Linked DNA regions of Nothobranchius furzeri. The protein of the gene in region 1 purifies or fractionates together with the protein of each later gene. This does not show direct contact. Links are inferred from orthologs where the notes say so. Each region holds a gene or a part of one and is shown on either strand. Other genes may lie near its edges.

Region 1 (10,188 bases):
TGGTAAATTAATTCAAACAACAAATGCATTCATATTTCAGTATGTGTGTTGTTTGTGTCTTTTCTTAATTCTGTCAGACTGAAGGCGGTCGGCATCACCTGTAAGTCCAGCATTGGCTCCACTCCTTCTTGTAGCCATCCGGTCCAAGACATGTCAAAACTAAGTGAGGTGCATCCTGGAAACTACATCTTCTATGGTGTGTTCATCTCAATGTGACTGTTTCATTTTAACTATTTCAAATGAACAAACTGAAAAAACAAAATTTGTTTTATGTTTTGTTGAAATGTAGATGTGCAGCAGTCCATGATTGGCTCGTGTAGTCTGGAGGATGTGGCTGTGAGGGTTCTGACAAGAGTCATTGGACACTGTCCACAGAAGGACCAGCTCCTGATCGACTGTGGGTGGAGTGCTATTAGGTAGGATTTACAGAAGGACACATGGCTGGACTGGTTTTAGATGAACTCGACCGACTTCTTTGTTTTCTTTTTCCTTCAGTTTGGATGGAGCTGGAAAACTTCCCACTGGATATGCCATCATTGAAGGGCATCCAGACCTGAAGTAAAACGCTTTTTCTATTTCTTTTTTTTTACTTGAAAACAGAATTTAAAGGAGCAATTTGTAAGAATTCTACAGTGAAATAATCACAGACTAATGTCTCAGTCATGTTGGAAGGGAGGTTAAATGAAAACAGATTTCATTCTCAGCTGGTTGGGTGTTGTCAGTTTGTCTATTTTCAAAAAACAAAGGAGGGACATCGTTTCGGACATCAGCTACAGTCTGTGGCGAGCTAACGGTGCAGCGCCGCCAGCATTTCTAATTCGACACTGGCAAGCTCCAGAGTTGTTTAAAGAACCAGTGCCAGTAAACAGGAGTGACCCAGAAGTTATTTCTTGTAACCCTAAGAAGCCACAACATCTTTTTGTTTTACTTGAGTGAATCAGGCTAGAGGCTAACGCTGAGCTAACAGTTATAATGGTGAATTAGGAGCAAGTACTCGGCTCTAAAAATATCTTAAGCTACTTTCTCAATTAGCAACATCTCAGTATTAAAGTGAAATGTGTGTGTGACATGAATAATGAGTCAATCGCAGCATTTTACTTCCTTTAATGAGTCGTTCAGAACTATTAGAGCAAGCTAACAGCAAGACGGCAAACAAACACACTTCCTGTAATGCCTGATGCATTACCGTAATAAGTGTAGTAAATGCTCTCTACCGTAAAATATCCAAGTGTGCGAACACCAGATGTTAGGGCTGGGCAATAAATTGAAAATTTATCGTTATCGACATTTCTGACTCTTATCGGGATAAATTGTTCCCGTGTCAATAAATGTGATAATAAAAAATGAAAAGATGTGTGTAGATGGGCAACATTCATGTCCCTTTAAGAAGCTGTACCACCTTGAGTCACGTAAAAATGTGATTCAACGTAATACACGCGACAGCCCCATCTAGTGGACAATTTTCATTTCTGCTAATACCTGTAGTTATCGTCCACTTATCGTTATCGAGGTGAAATCCTCAATATATCGTGATATTGATTTTAGACCATATCGCCCAGCCCTACCAGATATAATTATGTATTTATCTACTTATCAACTTTGCTTATCATCTAGAATCTTCTGGTGCTGATCTGTAACTGGCAAGAGCCATAAAACTCACAGAACAACAGTGAGACAGTAACTTTTTGTTTAGCAAAGTGAGCTGCAGTCACCATATTTGACCACAAGATGTCATTTTTACTTCATTCTTACATGTTGTTTATGTTGCACTTGGTTATGTATCCCTCCAGGTTGTCATCAATGACTCAGGAACATGGAAGACTGGAGCCCATCTCGGGTCATCTGGACTACAGCAAATACCCTCTTGGTACTTTGCTCTCGTTGATCCCCCACCACGTTAGTATTGTTTAATGTGACCTTTAGCAACCTGTCTGTAGGATTAAAAGAGGCTCGGTTAGAAGATTATATTCTGTTATCCAAGAAGCCGTCAGTGACGGGAGTTCCTCTGAAGGTTCTCATACTGGACATTCCTTCATGTGGTGTCGGATTCATTGTGTTGCTATTGTGTTTTAAAGTTTATTTTTATTTTATTTCAGTCCTGTGCGACAGCCATGATGCATCCCGTGTATCATGTACACTCCAAGGGTCGTCTGCTGGGGACGTGGAACCCCACCCGTGGGTGGTGAAGCCCAAGTTTTGACCTGGATGTTGTTAGATGAAGATACTTGTCCACCTAAAACAGCATATTTGTGGTTGATTAGACTGGTGTCTGGAAAAAAAAACATATCAGAGCCTGTTTTTATGAGACTTTAACCATTTTCTAAATCGATGTGTTGTAAAATTGGCCATCTTTGTTTTTACGTAATGTTATCTCTGTAAATCAAAGCAAATTTAAAAAATTTGTTTTTGTCCATTGTGTAGATAAATACATTTCAGTGAGACGAGTTGTTTACTGATTGTTTAATTAATATCATGATCATTCTTTCTGTCGCCATTTAAATGGTAGAATTCTAGCCTTAAACACATACAAAGGTTATATTTTAATGGAACATTTCTCACGTTTGATTTTGTCCCCTTGACCCTCTTGTATTATCTCAAAGGTGATGGGGGTTTTTTGCTGCCGATACCGATATCAAAGAATGCTGATCACCGATACCGATCATGTGGATTGGCCAGAAATTTTATACAACATTACAATGAGTGCTACAAACCACATAATCTGGGAATAAAGGAAATGTAACCTAATCTAAAATGGTCTGATCGGTCTGCTTTGATCTATTTTGAAAACTCCGATCAAAACCGATAGGGGCGCTATCGGCCGATTGGGATCAAATGCCAATCCATCGGTGCATCCCTAGTTCAAACCAGTGACTTAGAAATAATGGAAAATAAAGGCTTGACACCAACTATCAGAATTTGATCAGCAGTCTCCTCTCCTATTTAGGGACAATCGAAGAGACATAAAAATGTTGAGCTGCTGTGTCGCCCTGACCCTAAACCCTACTGTTATTTAATGCTGATGTTGTTTCAGTGATAACGTAGTTTTTTATTAAAGCTCAGTCATTTCAGTTTTTATTTTAAATCAATATAATAGGAATTATCAACCAGAACAAACCCAAACTTATGAGCGAGTGTATTTCCCTGCCTCGCCCCATGAGATCTCCGAGGAAGACATAAAAATGAATAACATCCAGAAGATTAAAGGAGGAATTTAGATCCACATAAAGGAGATTTTATACATGGTGGATTGTATTCATACAGAATTGAAGATGTTCTTGTCAAAAAAGTGCAGATATTGTCTTGTGTAAAACTGTATCAACTAAATTTTTGTAGTGAAAGGTGAAAAAATAAACTGTTTCAATGAGCAAAAGTGAATCCAAAGTGTTAAATAGTTTTCTAAATCTGGATTCTCACGAACAAATTTGTCAGTATAAATATAGACGCAACACTTTTGTTTTTGCTCCCATTTTTCATGAGCTGAACTGAAACCTCTGAAACTTTTTCTACATGCGGTGGGATGGATCATCTTGGTAGAGGGAAAGTGCTCACTAACACACACACACACGTAGACAGATTTCAGAATAATATTTGAGGCCGCTAGAACGAAAAGACTTAACTAATAGCAAGACATCTAAATCCCCTTTCTTTAGTGAATCTTTAACCGGATTGTGGAGTTGAATGAATACTAAATAAACAATAATCACAGCATCAAACGTGACACACACTGATTCTCAAGACTACTTGAAATTGAAACTGAATGAAAAAAATAAACATGGCAATAAAATGCCCTTTACAGATTACCAAGAAATGTGATTCTTATTGAAAATGACCACAAACTGAATGTAACTTGAAATATGGACATTAACTAATGTCAGATCAGATATCAACCTGAATCATTAAAGTATTTTAATCAGTATCCAGTCAATCCTTGTATTTAGGATTTGGTTTAATCCTAATTTATTATTTTTATAATTCATATATTATTTTTAAACATATTTGTAATCATTTTTTAAATCTTTTTATACTTGAATTTTTTGGTTTTGTGAAGCGCCTCGTGATTTTTAACTTGAGAGAAAAGATCGTTCTCTTTCTTTCTTTTCTTTACAACGTTAAACTTTATTTTCACAGTTCTATTTTCATTATTTTCACTACTTCTTCTTTTCTGTGCTTAAGCGTGTCATATTGTGTCCATTACATTTGATCTTACCTGTACAAAGTTTTTTCTACTGCTGTGAATTAGAGTAAGAATACCTGACTTGAATATTATTTGTCTGTGGACTTGTGACAGGCGGACTTGTTGAAAGGATTCTTGGGAAACGTAGTTTTACTGCTACTAGCGTTTTGATTGGCCACTTTATGACCTTTCCACTCAGTCACGTGATTTAAAATGTTCAGAATGGCGCGGAAACTTGTCACATCGCTTCTCAATTAAACTTTCCGACTTTAAAGTTTTGTTTATGTTTTAAATTTTATATTGTTTTGCGGACTTTTTCCGCCCGTTTGAGTAAGTCTCGACCTTTTGCGCTCACTTTCCTCAGCTTTAGCGCGAGAGTTCAAACCGACTCTAGTAGCAGGGCTAATTGTGTGTTTTGCTGCGTGGCTTCAGGCTTGTATCGTGTGTTTTGTGTTTATTGGTAGAAATGAGCGTGTTGGAGGTGAAGTTCGTTGGGGATGGGGATGTTTTGGAGCACATCGTGGACAAACAGGAGGGTATGAGCTGGTTTATCTCTGCTGTTTTGTTTTTTGCCCATTCGCTCTCGTTTTATGTGTGCGTGTGTGTGTGTGCGCGCGCGCGCGCGCGTGTGTGTGTGTGTGTGTGTTGTGACTAGTATTGCAGAGCAGTGCTGGCTCTGGGCTGAGGATGGTGAAGTTTAAGAGCCCGGCTGGACAGAGGGAATGCCTGGAGGAGACTCGGTGTGATGGAGATGAAAACGGAGTCCATGATGAGCTGGGTTATGTCCGAGCTTTAGGAACTGAAAACGATGAAGGTATCCCTTCCTTGGTTCTGGTTTTGTCCTGCTGCATTTTCACCCTCATCCTCCACTCTTCCATCCATAAATCTGCTCTTTGGCTTTCCTCCACGACTCCTGCCTGGCTGTTCCAGCCTGAGCATCCTTCTGCAGATTCCTCCATGTCCAAACCATCTTAGCCTGATCTTATTTCAAATCATCTAACGCAGTCCCTCTAATCCTGATCCTGTCACTCCTGAAGACAATCTCAACATTTTCACCTGCCCTGCCTCCTGTCTTCTCGGTGCCACTGTAGATCATCGAGTTTAGTATTTTGACATTACCTAATAAAGCCATAACATGAACCTAAATGTCTCTTAATGCCACTAATATGTTCTTTGGCTTCACAGAAGTAGACGATAATCCTTCTAGAGTTGCTGGTTCCTCCATCTTCACCTTCCAGAAAGTCAAACGAAGTCACAGCTTGGCCCAAACTGGTGAATCTCCGATTACCTCTCGAACGAAGGCTCAACGTTCATCTTCAGCTGCATTTATTAAACCGTTGTTTTGTTGTTTCCCTTCGTAGCGAGCGAACTGGCTCGGACCCCGGGAAAAAGCGTGAGCTTCACCAGGGACACAAACTCGGAACCCACCACTCCCTCTCGGACAGGCAGCAGTGAGTCGAGCGAACCCACTCCCCGTCCGCCTGTGCTCTCATTATGAAATGATCAGGTTTACTTTTGTCTGTCTAGGCCACGCAGGTGAAAACAGGACACCACAGAGGGTGAGAGAGCTAATACATTTCACTTTATCCAGTGAAGGATTTAGTTTGTTTTAATTTAGTTTTGTTTCTCCTGAAACAGAAAAAGAGTGTCCGGTTTGTCTCCACCACCCCTCACAGACTCAGGAAGAGACTTACAGGTACGCCTGGCCTGTTGTAGTTGTGTTCGTTTAGTAACGCTGGTGTAATCTGGGTGTGGTGGGGCTTATTTTCAGCACCAACTCTTCGGTCTGACAGCGACAGTGAACTCTCCCCCTCTGACTCTGAGGAGGACGAGCTCAAAGAAGAGCAGAGAGGGAAGCAAGAGGACAAGGAGAATGTGAAAAAGACGAGAACCCCTAGTAAAGGGCTTTCTGCAGCTCTCTACAAGACTCCTGCCAAGAGGAGCAAGAACACAGCCGAGCCTCTGAATCAGCCCACCATGACCGAGGAGTATTTTGAGGCTCATGGCAGCTCAAAGGTCCTGACGTCGGACCGGACCCTCCAGCGTTTGCACACCCCTAAGTTTGACCGGGTGTGTGAATTAAAAGTTACATGTTAGTCCATTATAATAAACCTTTGGCTAAACTCCACCTCTTTTACTTTTTGGACAGGAGACGTTGGATCGTCTTTTAGAAGATAAACCGTCTTGCTACTCAAAAGAGATCCAGCAGCTGCACGACAAACACAGGAAGCACTTTAACAAATGGATGTTACAGCTGCAGTGAGTGTGGCGGCGTGCCCTTTCCTACGGTTTGACTCTGTTCTACTAAAACGTCTCCCTAGGGGTTGTATGAACTAGTCGACTTCACGGCTCTGTAGTGACTTTTTATGCCTGTCATCGACTAGTCGCTGTCACGTGATAATGACTGACAAGATGCAGTCCTCCAGCAGGTGATGAGCCCCTGCGTCGGGAGGCGGAGGCGACGCGCTGTGCCAGAGCGTCGGTACTGACACCGGCGGTAAAACGGACATTTAACCAAACTGTGACCTTTACCCTCTTGCAATTTAACCTTCCCCTCACCCCCATCCTAATCTTAACCAGTTTGCGCATGCAAAGCTCTGATCGTTGACGCGCTCCAGACATCTGCGTCCAGAGCACCGCCAAATCAGGTGTCACCACCTCAAAAACTAACTAAACACGCGATCGTTCATGTCGGCTCATTTCCTTTCATGTTTTCTGTCTGTTATTTGTGCCTGATGCGTTTCGCTGCTGCGGAGCGAGGCTCTTCACCTGTTTTGTCCTCCGGTGACGCACCCCCAAGATTCCACTATCTCCGCTCCGGCACGAACTCCGCAGCAAAAACGGTCCCGTTGTAGTCGGCCGGCGAGCAGCGGCACTCCGCTGTTTTTGCGGTCGGTAGATCTTTTAGAACTGCAGTTCAAAGGTAACTCATAAGGTGAATATATATGAACCCAGGTAGCAGTTTTTCTTTAGGACTGAGAGGAGATGCAGGAAGATAATAAACAGGCAGGACAGAAAAATAGGCAAATAAAAACAAGTTAGTTTTTGTACCTGGTGGTTGCAACAAACAGACACCATTGAAGGTAATCAGAAGTGAGGAACAGAAAATGAACTAATTATTTTAATGTTTAGAGCAGCAGGAACTCTGAGAGGCTGCAGGCGCATCAGTGAGTTTGTGGCCGCTGCGCAGGGGGAGGGGGGAGAGGGCTGATGCAGAAACTACCGTTGTTAAAAGAGATGTTTAACTTAGAAAATTCTTTCTTTCAATTTGGGTGCAATTTTAATTGTCAAAAACTCCAGCGAACCTACCGACCCCCCCCCCCCCCCCCCCCCCCCCCCGCCGCCGCTTCAGGTGAATGACGTCATCAACGACTAGTCGAAGTCGACTCGATTTTCATTACTTGACTGTCGACTTTAAAAAAAATTAAGTCATGCAACCCCTACTTCTCCCAAGAGGTGCTTGTTGTTGGTTTGCAGGTTGGGATTCAGTGTTCTGGTTTATGGTTTGGGCAGCAAAAAGGCTTTGCTCGAAGACTTCAGGGTGGCTCATCTGTCTCAAGAGATCCACCTGGTGGTCAACGGGTTCTTCCCCTCCATTACTCTTAAAGCGGTTCGTAGACCAGTGAAAATGTGCGTTTTTATTGCGACTGTCTACAGAAAACAGAACAAACCACAGCTGTCATGTGATCGCGCTGCAGATATTAAACTCCCTGACATGTGAGGTTCTGGAGCACGAAGGAAGTTTCCGCACGCCGTCGGACCAGATCCAGTTCATCGCTCAGACCCTCAAAGGCAGTAAGTCGCTGAGTGAGCGAGACTAGTTGTCTCAGCCTTCACGTTTGTTGGATTTGTGAGTTTTACTTTTCTGACGTCTCTGCAGACCCAGGTCTCCGTGTGTTTTTACTGATCCATAACATTGACGGGCAAATGCTGCGAGGAGAGAAGACCCAGAGCGCACTGGGGCAGCTGGCGTCCTTACCAAACCTGCACTTGGTGGCTTCCATAGACCACATCAATGCTCCACTGGGTGGGTGGTCACGGGAATTAGTACCGCTGTCGGGATCACGGAGAAGCTGGCGCCCATCTCCATCAGCTCGTCACAGGGATTGGTCTGTTCTTGCACCTAAGTGTTCCTAATGTGTTTCCAGTGTGGGACCAGTTCAAGCAGAGCCAGTTTAACTGGTTGTGGTGGGAGTGTGTGACGTTCCAGCACTATGCAGAGGAGACGTCGTATGAAAACTCACTCTTGGTGCAGCAGACGGGTGCTCTCGCTCTGTCCTCCCTCACACACGTGCTCCGCAGCTTGACTCCCAACGCGAGGTACTGCAGCCATGTTGGTCCTAGGGATGCAACGATACCACTTTTTTCCAAACCGATACAATACCGATACTTGGATCTGAATATTTGCCGATACGATTACCGATACCTATACTTCTACCACACAAAAAAAAAGTTATGATTTGGAATACAGATTTTATTTTCTTCTCTGCTTTCAACGGGAAAAGACTGTGAGGTAGATAAAAAGTAAAATACATGAATAGAAATCATCACAAAACTAAATTATCAGGTGAACAGAAATGACAAGTTACAGTGAAGCCATTTTCAAGCAACTGCATTTGTATCGGTTTACTTTTACCGATACCGATACCAGTATCGTATCGGTATCTGCACCGATACCAGTATCGGTATCGGTGCATCCCTAGTTGGTCTCTTTATGCTCCCCTTCCCCCTCACTCAGGATTTCAGTCTCAAAAAGAAAAGCTAATAAATGCATCTTAATCCTGAAATAATCTTTGAAAAATCTACATTAACATGTCACATCTGTGATGTGGTGAACATCCTTCCAACGTTCCAGTTTGTTTTTCTCAAGGTTGGTTTATGCTTGACGCGTCCGCGAGGTCCGCACGACTCCGCGCGGAAAAGTTGCGTCATTTTGCGTCATTTTAACAACCACGCCCCTCCACCGTGCCTCCGCACGGCCCAGAATTTCCGCAACGTGCACCTCGGAAAATTTCTAACCACGCGGACGGACGGATGCGGAAAAACATGGCGGACCGGCAAGAACTAGTATGGCAGAGGTTCATAAATACAGACATTTGTATGATTCAGCTCTCAGAGATCACCGTGATCAACATGTTGTTAATAATTCTTGGAGAGAAATGGCTCGCACTGTCGGAAAAGACGAGGACGCTGTTAAAAATGCTGAAATGCCATGTTGTAAACAGTCATTTCTACTTCTACTATGGTGTAGTGTTGGAAGCATGCCGTAGAGCTCCATGCTGCCCCCTACAGTTTGGGAGAATATTGGCTCACCGCAGAGACGAGCCGCACAAACCATAAACGCTGCCGAGTTGTGAAGCGCGTTCCAGCCGCGACCCGCATCACCGCGCGGAAAGTGAACGCGTCAAGCATAAACCAAGCTTCAGCATCATAATTCTAAAGAGGGAAAAAACGGAAAACTTAACTGTGCTGCATTCCGGGATCTGTAGTTTTTCTGGTTGGTGGGAAGCGCGCCCACAGGCTGTCATAGTACCAGACGGGCCTGCTTTAGCGCTAGAACCGGATCTGATTACTTGTCATATTTTAGGTTTTTAACTGTCGTCTTTTACTCCTGCAGAGGAATCTTCAGACTGTTGGTGAAGTTTCAGCTGGAAAACAAAGACAACCCTTCATACACGGGTACAAAATCCTTCAGCTCCTCCTTTTCATTTCTTCAGTGTGTGACGGTTATAAACATTTGTACGCAGGGTTGTCTTTCCAAGACTTTTACCAGCGCTGCAGAGAAGCCTTCTTGGTGAACTCTGACCTCACACTGAGGACTCAGCTGACAGAGTTTAGGGACCATAAGCTGATTCGGACACGAAAAGTGAGCTTCACCTTACGTTTCCCGCTTCCGCTCTCTGTCCCAGCGTTTCTTTGCTGACTTTGCTTTTCTCTGACCTCCAGGGGGCCGACGGAGTGGAGTACCTGAATGTTGCCGTGGATGCGAACACACTGATGGACTTTTTGGAGAA
Region 2 (10,188 bases), on another chromosome or scaffold:
GTTCATTCCATGCCTAGAAGACTTGGTGCTGTCCTTGAAAATCACAGTGGTCAGACAAAATACAATGTAGTAGTTTTTGTTGTGGGGTGTTTTCATTTTTGCTTTGAAGATTTTGTGATCTAAGTTATTTTATTAACCTTAATTTCATGTTGTGGAGTTAAACAAGAGTTCAATAAAACCCAGCCTTGGGAAAACACTGGAACTTTTTCTTTTGAGCTACTGATTAAATTCATACTTTTTAAAGGGGGTGTACTCATTTATGCTGAGCACTGTATGTCAGACTGTAGCTAATATTTAACACAAATACTAGAAGCTAGTTCTATAACTTCTAACTTTGTACATCTAATGCTGAAACGTTAATGATGCTGTACGCACGCTTCTTGCAGATCCTGAGGAACAGGGACAGTGCACTTGTGAAAGGAGTTCTTGGTAATGGCCTTGTTAGGGTTGACTGGTCGCAGACGATCAAAGGTAACAATTTCGTTGTAAGTGGCGTCACAAGCTGCATACTCAATCACATAGAACTGAAAAATAAAAGTAGGTTGAATGATTTTAGACAGAATGATAAAACAAGATAAATCTGATTTTAAATCCAACAAGGTTTTGTTTGTTCTTTTACATTTGTAGCACTGCAACAGCTTAACTTTGTACATGAAGAAGAATACTCACATCTCCCTTCATCATGCGAACTTTAGCTAGCCACCAACCACAAGGCTCCTGTTCATTGGCTCTGGAGAATATCTGCCATGAGGTGAAATAAATTAAAGAGTAAGACTCAGACAAGATAAAAGAATAAAAGGTTTAACGTAGCAAGTGTCTACCCCACCTCCACCTCCTCGCCCTCTCCGATCTCCTTCTTGGCATCAGCAGGCGGTGGCAATCTGACATCACTGAAGGGCACCTGGCGTTCTGGCTGCCAACTAAAATACAAACCTCTAATGTCACAACTTGACTCTCTCACAAATCTTAACTTGATGTTTTACAAAAACACAAGAAGGGTACAAGAAACGGTGGCTTACTTGTTCTCAAAGGCAATGGTGAGAGAGTCACCGTGGACATCTTTGACAAAGCCCTGCAGGACATAGACAAGCGGGTGAGTGACGAGTGTGCCACTTCTTCCTTTAAAGTTCCTTTGAAGTTTTCTAACTGAAAACCCAGTGACCCCCAAACCCCCACCCTTTATTCCGTCTCTGTTTTATTAAACATTTACAGTAGAGCCATAGATATAAATACATAGATTGGGCTATGTATAGATGGGGGGGGGCAAGTTTGGCTGGAGATCACACTTGTTTTAGTGCTCTAGTTACAGACATCGTATCTGTAGACACGACGTAGACTGGCACTGCCTAGTGGAGCTGCTGTAACAGCAGGTCCTCATCTTGGATGGGTCTCCATCCACCCCCTGTGCATTTATTTCTACTGAGGAAGGTGCTTACCCGACTAAAACACATTTTATTATGCTTTTCACAAAAACAGACATATGGTACGTAGGGTTGTCACGGTAACCGGAATAGCGGTAAACCCCGGTAAAAAAAAGTTGACAATAATAATAACCGTCTTGTTTAAAAAAAAACATATATTATCTCGGTGGGTTACCGTGGCTGCGGTGTAGCGCGGTGACCCTTACCAGCCACCGTATCATCTGCTGAAGTTGCCGGCGGCACATGCTCGCTTTGTTGTTTACAACCAAAACTTTCTTGAAGCTAAAGCTGAAATAATGACCAGAGGAGGAGACGGCAGCACTCAGGACATTTTTTATCCCTCAAGGAAGACAAAGTGGGAAGTACGGGCATCTTTTGGATATTTGAAGAATGCCGAGGGACAGTTTATAGAAGATGCCACGGCTATCCTGTTTGCAGCACGTGCAGAAAAAGTGTCTGTGAAAGGCAGCAACGCCTCAAATCTCATGACACATCTGCGTGACCATCACCCACAACTCTACAGTCAACGCAAGGCAAGCTAACGTTAGCGTTTTAGCTAAAATGCGTGATCCGAGGATTTGGGTTGAGGGAGAATGCAACGAGTCGCTATATAAAGCAGCCGCAGCGCCGCTACCTGCATATAAACCGTGTCGCAGACACCCCCATGTTGAAATGACGCTATGCATTACGGGGCTCCCAGGGGCAGATAAGAGTTGGTCTCTCTCTGAGAATAATTATGAATTTATGACATTTTCCCAAATCTGCAAAGCTCACTGGAAGAACACAAACTGAGGACAATATTTTCCTGATATATGGTTTATTACTCAAATAAGGGTAAAAAAGTATCTGATTAGAAAGCTACTTGAGTACTGAGTATCATCTGATCTAATATTTTTAAAATGATGACATCAATTAGACAAAAGATAAGAAGTTATGGGCAAATATTGGTATTTTAAAGACTAAAGGGAAAAAATGTAAACAAATAAACAACATAATTACAAAATAACACATTTTAGGCAAAATTTAGACACAAACTGAGGACAATATTTCCTGACATACAGGGTTTATTTAATTGTGTGAAAATGTAGCACGTTTAAAAAAAATACCGCGATACCCCCCGCACCGTGAGAACAAACATCCCAGCTCCAAGGCCGATCTTTATCCGCGTACGTCACACGTCACGTGATCAGGAAGCAGAAAATCCATGTGTGAGGAGATCGTTTTGGGCCGCTGCTGTAAAAAAGTGAGGCACGAACCGGAAAAGCTTCTGCCGATCACAATTCGACAACCGATTATGAAAGAACGGATAACGCTGGAAACACGCGGATTCTTCCTGATGTAAGAGGTGAGTCTCCTCTTTGTTTTGGTTGTTTTGGCGTCGACATCCGGAACTTTCCGGAACTGCACTACTCTGGGTGGCCGTATGTTGGAGTAGCTCTGTTGATTATATGCAAGTTTTGCCTTTTCTTGGACATTTTTTCTTCTAGTTTCTCAAGAAAAACTGTATTTTTGGACACTTTGCTTTTCTGTTTCTGGTGCTGTGAAGCTTGGGGGATTTTTACTGCTATTTTTTAGCTTTTTTCACTTTTTGAGCAGTTGTTATGATGCGTAACCATGGCAACAGTCTGGTTTACAATCGGTAGCAGCTGATTAACATTGGAAAGGCTGAAATAATACCTCAACTGAAGCCACAAATCCCAAATGAGCTAAAACGCAAGAAGTATGGGTGCAGAGCGGGAGCAAAACGGAGACAGAGAAAGAGGAAATTCAAACCATCTCTTCCATCAATCATAATGGGCAACATGAGATCACTGGCCAACAAGATGGAGGAACTCCAAGCCCTTTCAAGGACTCAGCCAGAGTTTCGACAGTTTCAGAACCGCTGGAGGAGATAATGCAAAGAAGGATTCTCCAGATAATCAAGAAGATTATGGACAACCCTGAGCATTCTCTTCACAAGACTGTCCGACAACGGAAGAGCGTCTTCAGTCAGAGGCTTCTTCAGTTTCGCTGCAACACTGACCGCTACTGGAGATCCTTCCTGCCAACAGCCATTGTAATATACAATAACTCTTTGATGACTTGATTATTATTATTATTCTGAGCTACTACAGCAATCAATTTCCCTCTGGGATTAATAAAGTATTTTTGAATTGAATTGAATCATCCTAGAGCACAACATTCTGCACTTGTCATTCTTTTAAATTTCTAGAGACCACTTTATCAATGTGTCATCATTACTGGTATTACAATTTCTTCACACTGTGTATTTATTTCAAGCTCAATAAATATATTTGAGAGTAAATGAAGAACGGTTCTAAATCAAGTGGGATTAAAGGGCAGACTGGTTCTTGTGCCAAGTTTAATAAACATTTTCTAATTTAAATTCATCTTCATTAGATTGAATTTCAAAATGAGCTTTTGTTTTGTATTTAAAGAGCAAGTCAACCCCTACCAGAGTCTAACTCCACTCCCGCTTCATGTTTGAAAAATGCAACACATGCTGTTGCCTGGCAGACCGAGAGGGCGGAGCCGCTAACAAATACACACACACTCAGGCTCACGACAGCATTGTGACATCATAATGTACCAGTTTACATCATAGCATACTTCTTAGCCAATAGCGGTGGCAGATTTAAATTAAAATACAGTGCAGAGTTTTTACCTGACAATGGCACAACACTGCCAGTTTGAGGCAGAATATTTAAATTTTAACTAAGATGCACTGAAGTGCCAAATTATTGATGACACGTGTCTGCAGCACGATTAGACACTCGTTTATTTAGTTTATCAGCAAAAAAAAGTTTATTTGGGGGTGACTTGCTCTTTAAAGAGCAAGTCACCCCCTACCAGAGTATTACTCCACTCCCACTTCATGTTTGAAAAATGCAGCAAATGCTCTTGCCAAGCAGACCGAGAGGGCGGAGCTGCTAACAAATACACACACACACACACAGGCTCAAAACGACATTAGGACATCATATCGTACCAGCTAACATTCTAGGGTACCTCTTAGCCAATAGCGATGGCAGATTTAAATTCAACTGCAGTGCAGTGTTAACCTGACAATGGCACAATGGACAGTTTTAGGCAGAACATTTACATTTTAACTAAAATGCACTAAAGTGCTAAACTATTGACTACACGTGTCCGCAGCACGATTAGACAAGCATTTATATAGTTTATCAGAAAAAAAAAAGTTCATTTAGGGGTGACTTGATCTTTACTGCATCTGAATGGCCCCTCAAGTAATCTATATAGTATCAAATCTATACCATGTGGAGCAGAACAGATGTGATTTGGGAGATTGTTTGCAGTAAATCATCAGATCACAACAATGCTGACTGGACTTTCATCTTAAATCAGCAGTCGTGGGGATGAAACCCAAGAATTCTGACATTTATATTCGAAAGTATATTTAATCTCTTTTGAGGAACAGCCTGCGGGTCTTTTATAAAAGTCATGTGACAATCTTGTCTGAAACTGTGTGGCAGGGACTTTACAGAGAAAAGAACGTCACACCTTCACGTAACTCACGAGTTTAAAAGATGCAGTGTAACTGGGAATGGCTGAGGTAAACATATGAGCAAAAAGGAACAGTGATCTCGGTATTATAATGAGCTGCATCACCGGGGGCATGGGGATGAAACGAAACCGAGAGAAGTGAAAGAGAAAATACAAAAGTATCACTTTAGGGCCGAGGTCTAGAAATAGCTTACAAGTGTACAATATCACCGAGGCTCTGCTGACATGCCAACTGCTCTGGACTGACAGGGAACAGCTGGCACACATAGCGAAGATGGCCTGAACATGATCAAGTATCAAATAATAGACGGTGACAGGAAGATATGGTAGTCTGTGAAGAGCGTTGCAGGCGTGGTGCTTTCTGAACGCCGTTAGTAAAAAATAAAAATAAATAAAAAATACCCTCCAAACCAATTATGTGTTGTTATTCTAAAACGAATAAAACGTCAACCCCGACAAGGAATACATGTTTAACGGATAGCTTTATTCAACTATTAGACGTCAACAGTTTGCGAGTTAGCTAACTTTTAGCTAATGACCGTTACAGTCACGGGAATGCAAAAAAACAGCTTTCACGTGTTTAATATCTGAGGTATAACGGAAAGGACAGTGATTCCTCTCATTTGTGTTGGGCAAAAGTCGATAAAACAAAACACTTGGCAAAAACAAGCGACCGACGTTAGCTTAGCCTGCTAATTTTGGCTAGCTGCACTTTAACAACAAACAGTTCGAGGACTCAAAGACACTCGGAACACGTAGTTACGGTCCTCGAAACTTCAGCTAACAGTCTGTATTGGGTAACGAAGTGCTACTTTTACAGCTGTGATGATATGCCGGTATTTACCTTATAATAAGCGCCGTTGGAGCCACGGACCTCCACCGCCAGTTCTTCCATATTGGACACGCAAAGGATGCCGGGACGACAGGTGTTCATTAGGGCTCCGATAGAGAGGCATGTTGTGGCGTTAGAAACTGTATTTTTGTGGTTTACATTTAAAATTATGATTGTTATTTAATGCTTTATGTTTGTGGGTTTCCTTTTAAGTTTCATATTTAATGCCCCACATCACTGGGGATATTTAACACGTTGTTTTATGAAGATGTTCAAAAGCATCATTCTGTAAAATGTAATGAGAATAATGTAAGAAGAGTCATTAAAATGAGAACATATTTCACATTTAATGATACACATGTCAGCTGAAATGCCACATTCAGACTAAGTTCACTACAAACAAACAACAGACGTGTGTCTGGCTTAAGATCACACATGGAATGAGTAGAAATCTTCATTGCTTCCAGGTATCACATCCAGAACATTCCGTTGAAAATATTCTCTCATAGAAGCTTAGACCTTCATGAAATAGTAACTCCAAAGTGAAGGCTTCTCTGGTCTGCTTGGTAACGAAATCATAACTAGGTTGTCATGAGTCGGGGTGAGTACTCGTCTCACACATTCCACCTTTGAGTTGTGTTTCAGGAGAGGGAGGCTTCCAGCTGCGCCAGGTTAGCAATCGGGGGGACCGGCTACTTAAGGAGTTGGAGAACACACCTCGACGCGGGATGATTACTACAGCTCGGTAGTTTCCAGCTTTCTAGTGTTGCAGTGATTTTGTGCCTCTTGTGTTTTTGGCTTATTGATCTATGTGGATTTTTTTGTGCTCACGCCTTCTTCAGGATTTTTGGAACATCTCTGGAGTAGAGACTTCTCAGGATTCAGTGACTCATCAGGATACTCACCTTTGCCACGTAACCCTTCAGGATGCAGCTCTCTGCTGTTCTCCATTCCTCCATCCAATCCGCTCACCTGCTCTCTCCACGCTCCCTCTCCTGGACCTCCTCACCCGGACACACCCCGACTCTGGACCTGCCCTTCCCAATACCTACACCTCCCAAATTCCCTATGCTGCGCTCCGTTTCCCGACCTCCACTGGAATTCCCAGTGCACCTTATGTTCTCGTTCTAAAATAAACATTCTTTTTTTTTTTCATTAAATCAGTGAGTTTATTGTGATTGCATGTCCTGGGTTAAACGCCTTCCCCAGACCATGTCAGAATCATCCCGCCAACCCGCTAACCCTGCAGACACAACTCTCACCGATCATCTCCATAGGGTGTCCCAACAGGAGCAGACGATGCCGCTGCAAATGAAGCAGCTTAACGCAGCCCAAAGTCGTTGCCAGCAGCTGGAGGCCCTGGTGCGGCAGATCCACAACCGAGTGTCTCAGCCGCAGACTCCTAGAACGGAACCTCAGGCGGCCGCTCCAGTTGCCTCCGGACCGGAAGTTCCAGTTCCCACAGAGATCACCCACTTCCATCCAGCCGCTTCTCCTCCATCCCAGACATTCGGCGGTGAGTTCAAGGACTGCCATAGCTTCCTCCTTCAGTGTCGTCTCGCATTTGAACGCTCACCAGGAGCTTTTTCCACAGACTCAATTAAAATGTCATATATTGTTGGACTACGTCATGGACGAGCCCTACGGTGGGCTGAAGCTAAGAGCCATTGTGCCACTTTTCTATTAGGACCTCATGATGAGTTTTTAACGGACTTCACACAGACTTTTGGACAGACCGAATTTGTTTTGGATATTAGGAAGCGACTCTGGACATTGTCACAGGGTCGACGATCAGTGGCGGACATGTCTGTGGAGTTCAGGACTTTGGCAGCAAGGACTTCATGGAACGAAGAAGCACTAATTGCTGCGTTCACAGAGGCTCTCAGTGATCGAGTCCAGGACCAGTTGGCGTTGTGCCAGGAACCTCAGTCTCTGGAGGGACTCATTCGCCTTGCCATCTCCATTGACAAACGTCACCAGGAGCTACAGCGCCCGGTCACCAGTGCTCGTCCAGCTCCCACTCCTGACCGTAACCAGGGGACTGGATATCGCTCCTCTTCTGAGACTACCACAACTGATGAACCCATGCAGATGGGTTGGACTCGTCTTTCCCCAGAAGAGCGGGAACATCGAATAAGGTCAGGTCTATGTTTGTATTGCGGGGGGCCCGGACACTTCGCCAGAGTCTGCCCAGCACTGGCAAAAGGCAGAGCCCACCAGTAAAACCGGGACTACTGGTGGGCAGAAACTCCAGCTCCCGTTGTTCTATCCAGTGTACTGTGTTTTTAATTCTGAACAGTTTCAGCTAGAGGCATTGGTGGACTCTGGTTGTGAGCAGTCTATGTTGGATCCTGGCTAGGTAGAGAGGTGGAATACCCCTACCACTCGTTTGTCGTCTCCTCTCCCTGTGTCATCACTGGATGACAGGGCTTTATCCACCATCACTCACCAGACCATTCCCCTACAGTTAAGAGTGTCAGGTAACCACACAGAACGTCTGGCATTTTTTGTATTTCCCTCTCCCCAGTCCCCGTTCGTCCTGGGCCACTCTTGGTTGAAACGCTACAACCCCCAGCTGAACTGGAAAACCAACCGGATAGAAGGATGGAGTCCAGAGTGTTCTCAAGTTTGCCTTCGCTCAGCCTCACCAACCTTCCACAGCCCCACAATCCCTTCTGCAGAAGAGATTGATCTCTCCAAAGTACCTCTGGTCTACCATGACCTCAGACAGGTATTCAACAAAGACCGTGCTTCTTCTCTTCCCCCACACAGACCTTTTGACTGCAGCATTGAGTTGCTGCCTGGAGCTCCACTTGCCTCCAGTTGCCTATATCACCTTTCCAAGCCTGAGAGGGAGAGTATGGAGAGTTACATCCAGGAGTCTCTGGCAGCCGGTCTTATCAGGCCCTCCACCTCACCTCTGGGAGCAGGGTTTTTCTTTGTTCCAAAAAAGGAGGGAATGCTCAGGCCTTACACAGACTACAGGGGGTTAAACAAAATAACTGTAAAAAACAAGTATCCTCTGCCTCTGTTAACTTCCACTTTTGAGCCCATTCAGGACGCCACTATTGTCAGCCACTTGGATCTCAGGAATGCCTTCCACTTAGTACGGATCCGTCAGGGAGATGAGTGGAAGACGGGGTTTAAAATTCCTTTAGGACATTTTGAGTATCTGGTAATGCCTTTTGGCCTGACTAATGCTCCTGCTGTGTTTCAGTCACTTGTGAACTCTGTCTTAGGAGATTATTTGAATAAGTATGTGACTGTCTATTTGGATGATATCTTAATTTTTTCAAGTACTCTAGAACAACATGTTCAGCATGTTCGGTCGGTGTTACAGCGCCTCCTGGAAAACTGGCTTTATGTGAAGGCTGACAAATGTATGTTTCATGTCACCACGGTTAAGTTTTTAGGATTTGTCATCGAGAGTGGGAGGCTGAAGGCAGACCCTGAGAAGGTCTAGGCAGTCACGGAATTGCCTACCCCATCCTCCCGTAAACAACTCCAGAGATTCCTGGGTTTCGCCGACTTCTACAGGAGATTCATCAGAAACTTCACTCAGACAGCCGCTCCTTTAACTAACCTCGCCTCCATTAACCAGCCTTTTGTTTGGTCCCCAGAAGCCCAAGCAGCTTTTCTGATGCTGAAAAGGAAGTTCACACATGCTCCGGTGCTCCACCGACCAGACCCCCAACTCCAGTTTACACTCGAGGTGGATGCCTCAGACACCGGACTTGGTGCAGTACTGTCTCAGGTATCTCCTTCTGACCATCGCCTTCCCCCTTTTGCCTTTTTTCTTGCCGTTTAACCCCAACAGAGAGCAGATACAACGTAGGCGACAGAGAGCTCTTGGCAGTGAAACTCGTCATCGAGGAATGGAGACACTGGCTTCAGGGGGCTGAGATCCCCTTCATCATCTGGACCGATCATAAAAATCTGGTCTACCTGAGAGAGGCAAAGAGACTCAACCCGCAACAATACAGGTGGTCCCTTTTTTTCTCTCACTTCAACCTTCAGATTTCATACCGCCCAGGCCCCAAGAACACCAAGCCAGATGCTCTCTCAAGACAACACGCACCTGACCAGGAGACAGAGCCCTCCACGATCCTACCCCCCACGTGTGTGGTGGGAGGGGTGACGTGGGAGATCCGAGACCAGGTTTTAGAGGCCCAGAGGACCGATCCAGGTCCAGGGATGGGACCTCCTGGCAGACTCTGGGTTCCGCAGGCTGTGAGGGGCAAAGTTATTCATTGGGCACATATTGGCAGATTTTCACTCCATCCCAGAGTTGGGCATACAATAGCTCTCATTAGATGCACGTTCTGGTGGCCTGCCATGTACAGGGATGTCAAAGACTATATATCAGGGTGTCATACTTGTGCTCAGCAAAAAGGAGACCGCCGGTCCCAG

The links. Proteins that work in one complex are often made in the same cells at the same time.
Region 2: the proteins of orc2 (region 1) and fxr1 purify together in Homo sapiens (affinity purification with mass spectrometry; 4 studies listed by BioGRID and IntAct, with this or other methods). This does not show direct contact. The link is inferred for Nothobranchius furzeri from reciprocal best matches to the Homo sapiens genes ORC2 and FXR1.

The regions. Positions count from the first base shown.
Region 1 is NC_091751.1:63,944,871-63,955,058, forward strand, and holds the start of orc2 (origin recognition complex subunit 2), read left to right. Parts: upstream 1-4,367; 5' UTR 4,368-4,504; exon of another isoform or gene 4,505-4,638; 5' UTR 4,639-4,640; coding exon 4,641-4,710; intron 4,711-4,829; coding exon 4,830-4,988; intron 4,989-5,359; coding exon 5,360-5,446; intron 5,447-5,535; coding exon 5,536-5,625; intron 5,626-5,701; coding exon 5,702-5,733; intron 5,734-5,812; coding exon 5,813-5,870; intron 5,871-5,945; coding exon 5,946-6,244; intron 6,245-6,323; coding exon 6,324-6,433; intron 6,434-7,651; coding exon 7,652-7,784; intron 7,785-7,872; coding exon 7,873-7,969; intron 7,970-8,054; coding exon 8,055-8,201; intron 8,202-8,322; coding exon 8,323-8,494; intron 8,495-9,791; coding exon 9,792-9,853; intron 9,854-9,921; coding exon 9,922-10,040; intron 10,041-10,120; coding exon 10,121-10,188. Other genes in the region: zgc:162816 (D-serine dehydratase), read left to right, coding at 78-196, 290-416, 496-558, 1,791-1,896, 2,097-2,186. UniProt on the Homo sapiens protein: Component of the origin recognition complex (ORC) that binds origins of replication. DNA-binding is ATP-dependent. The specific DNA sequences that define origins of replication have not been identified yet.
Region 2 is NC_091748.1:72,994,673-73,004,860, forward strand, and holds the start of fxr1 (RNA-binding protein FXR1), read right to left. Parts: upstream 5,907-10,188; 5' UTR 5,881-5,906; coding exon 5,791-5,880; intron 1,073-5,790; coding exon 1,020-1,072; intron 921-1,019; coding exon 827-920; intron 742-826; coding exon 670-741; intron 525-669; coding exon 376-524; intron 1-375. UniProt on the Homo sapiens protein: mRNA-binding protein that acts as a regulator of mRNAs translation and/or stability, and which is required for various processes, such as neurogenesis, muscle development and spermatogenesis.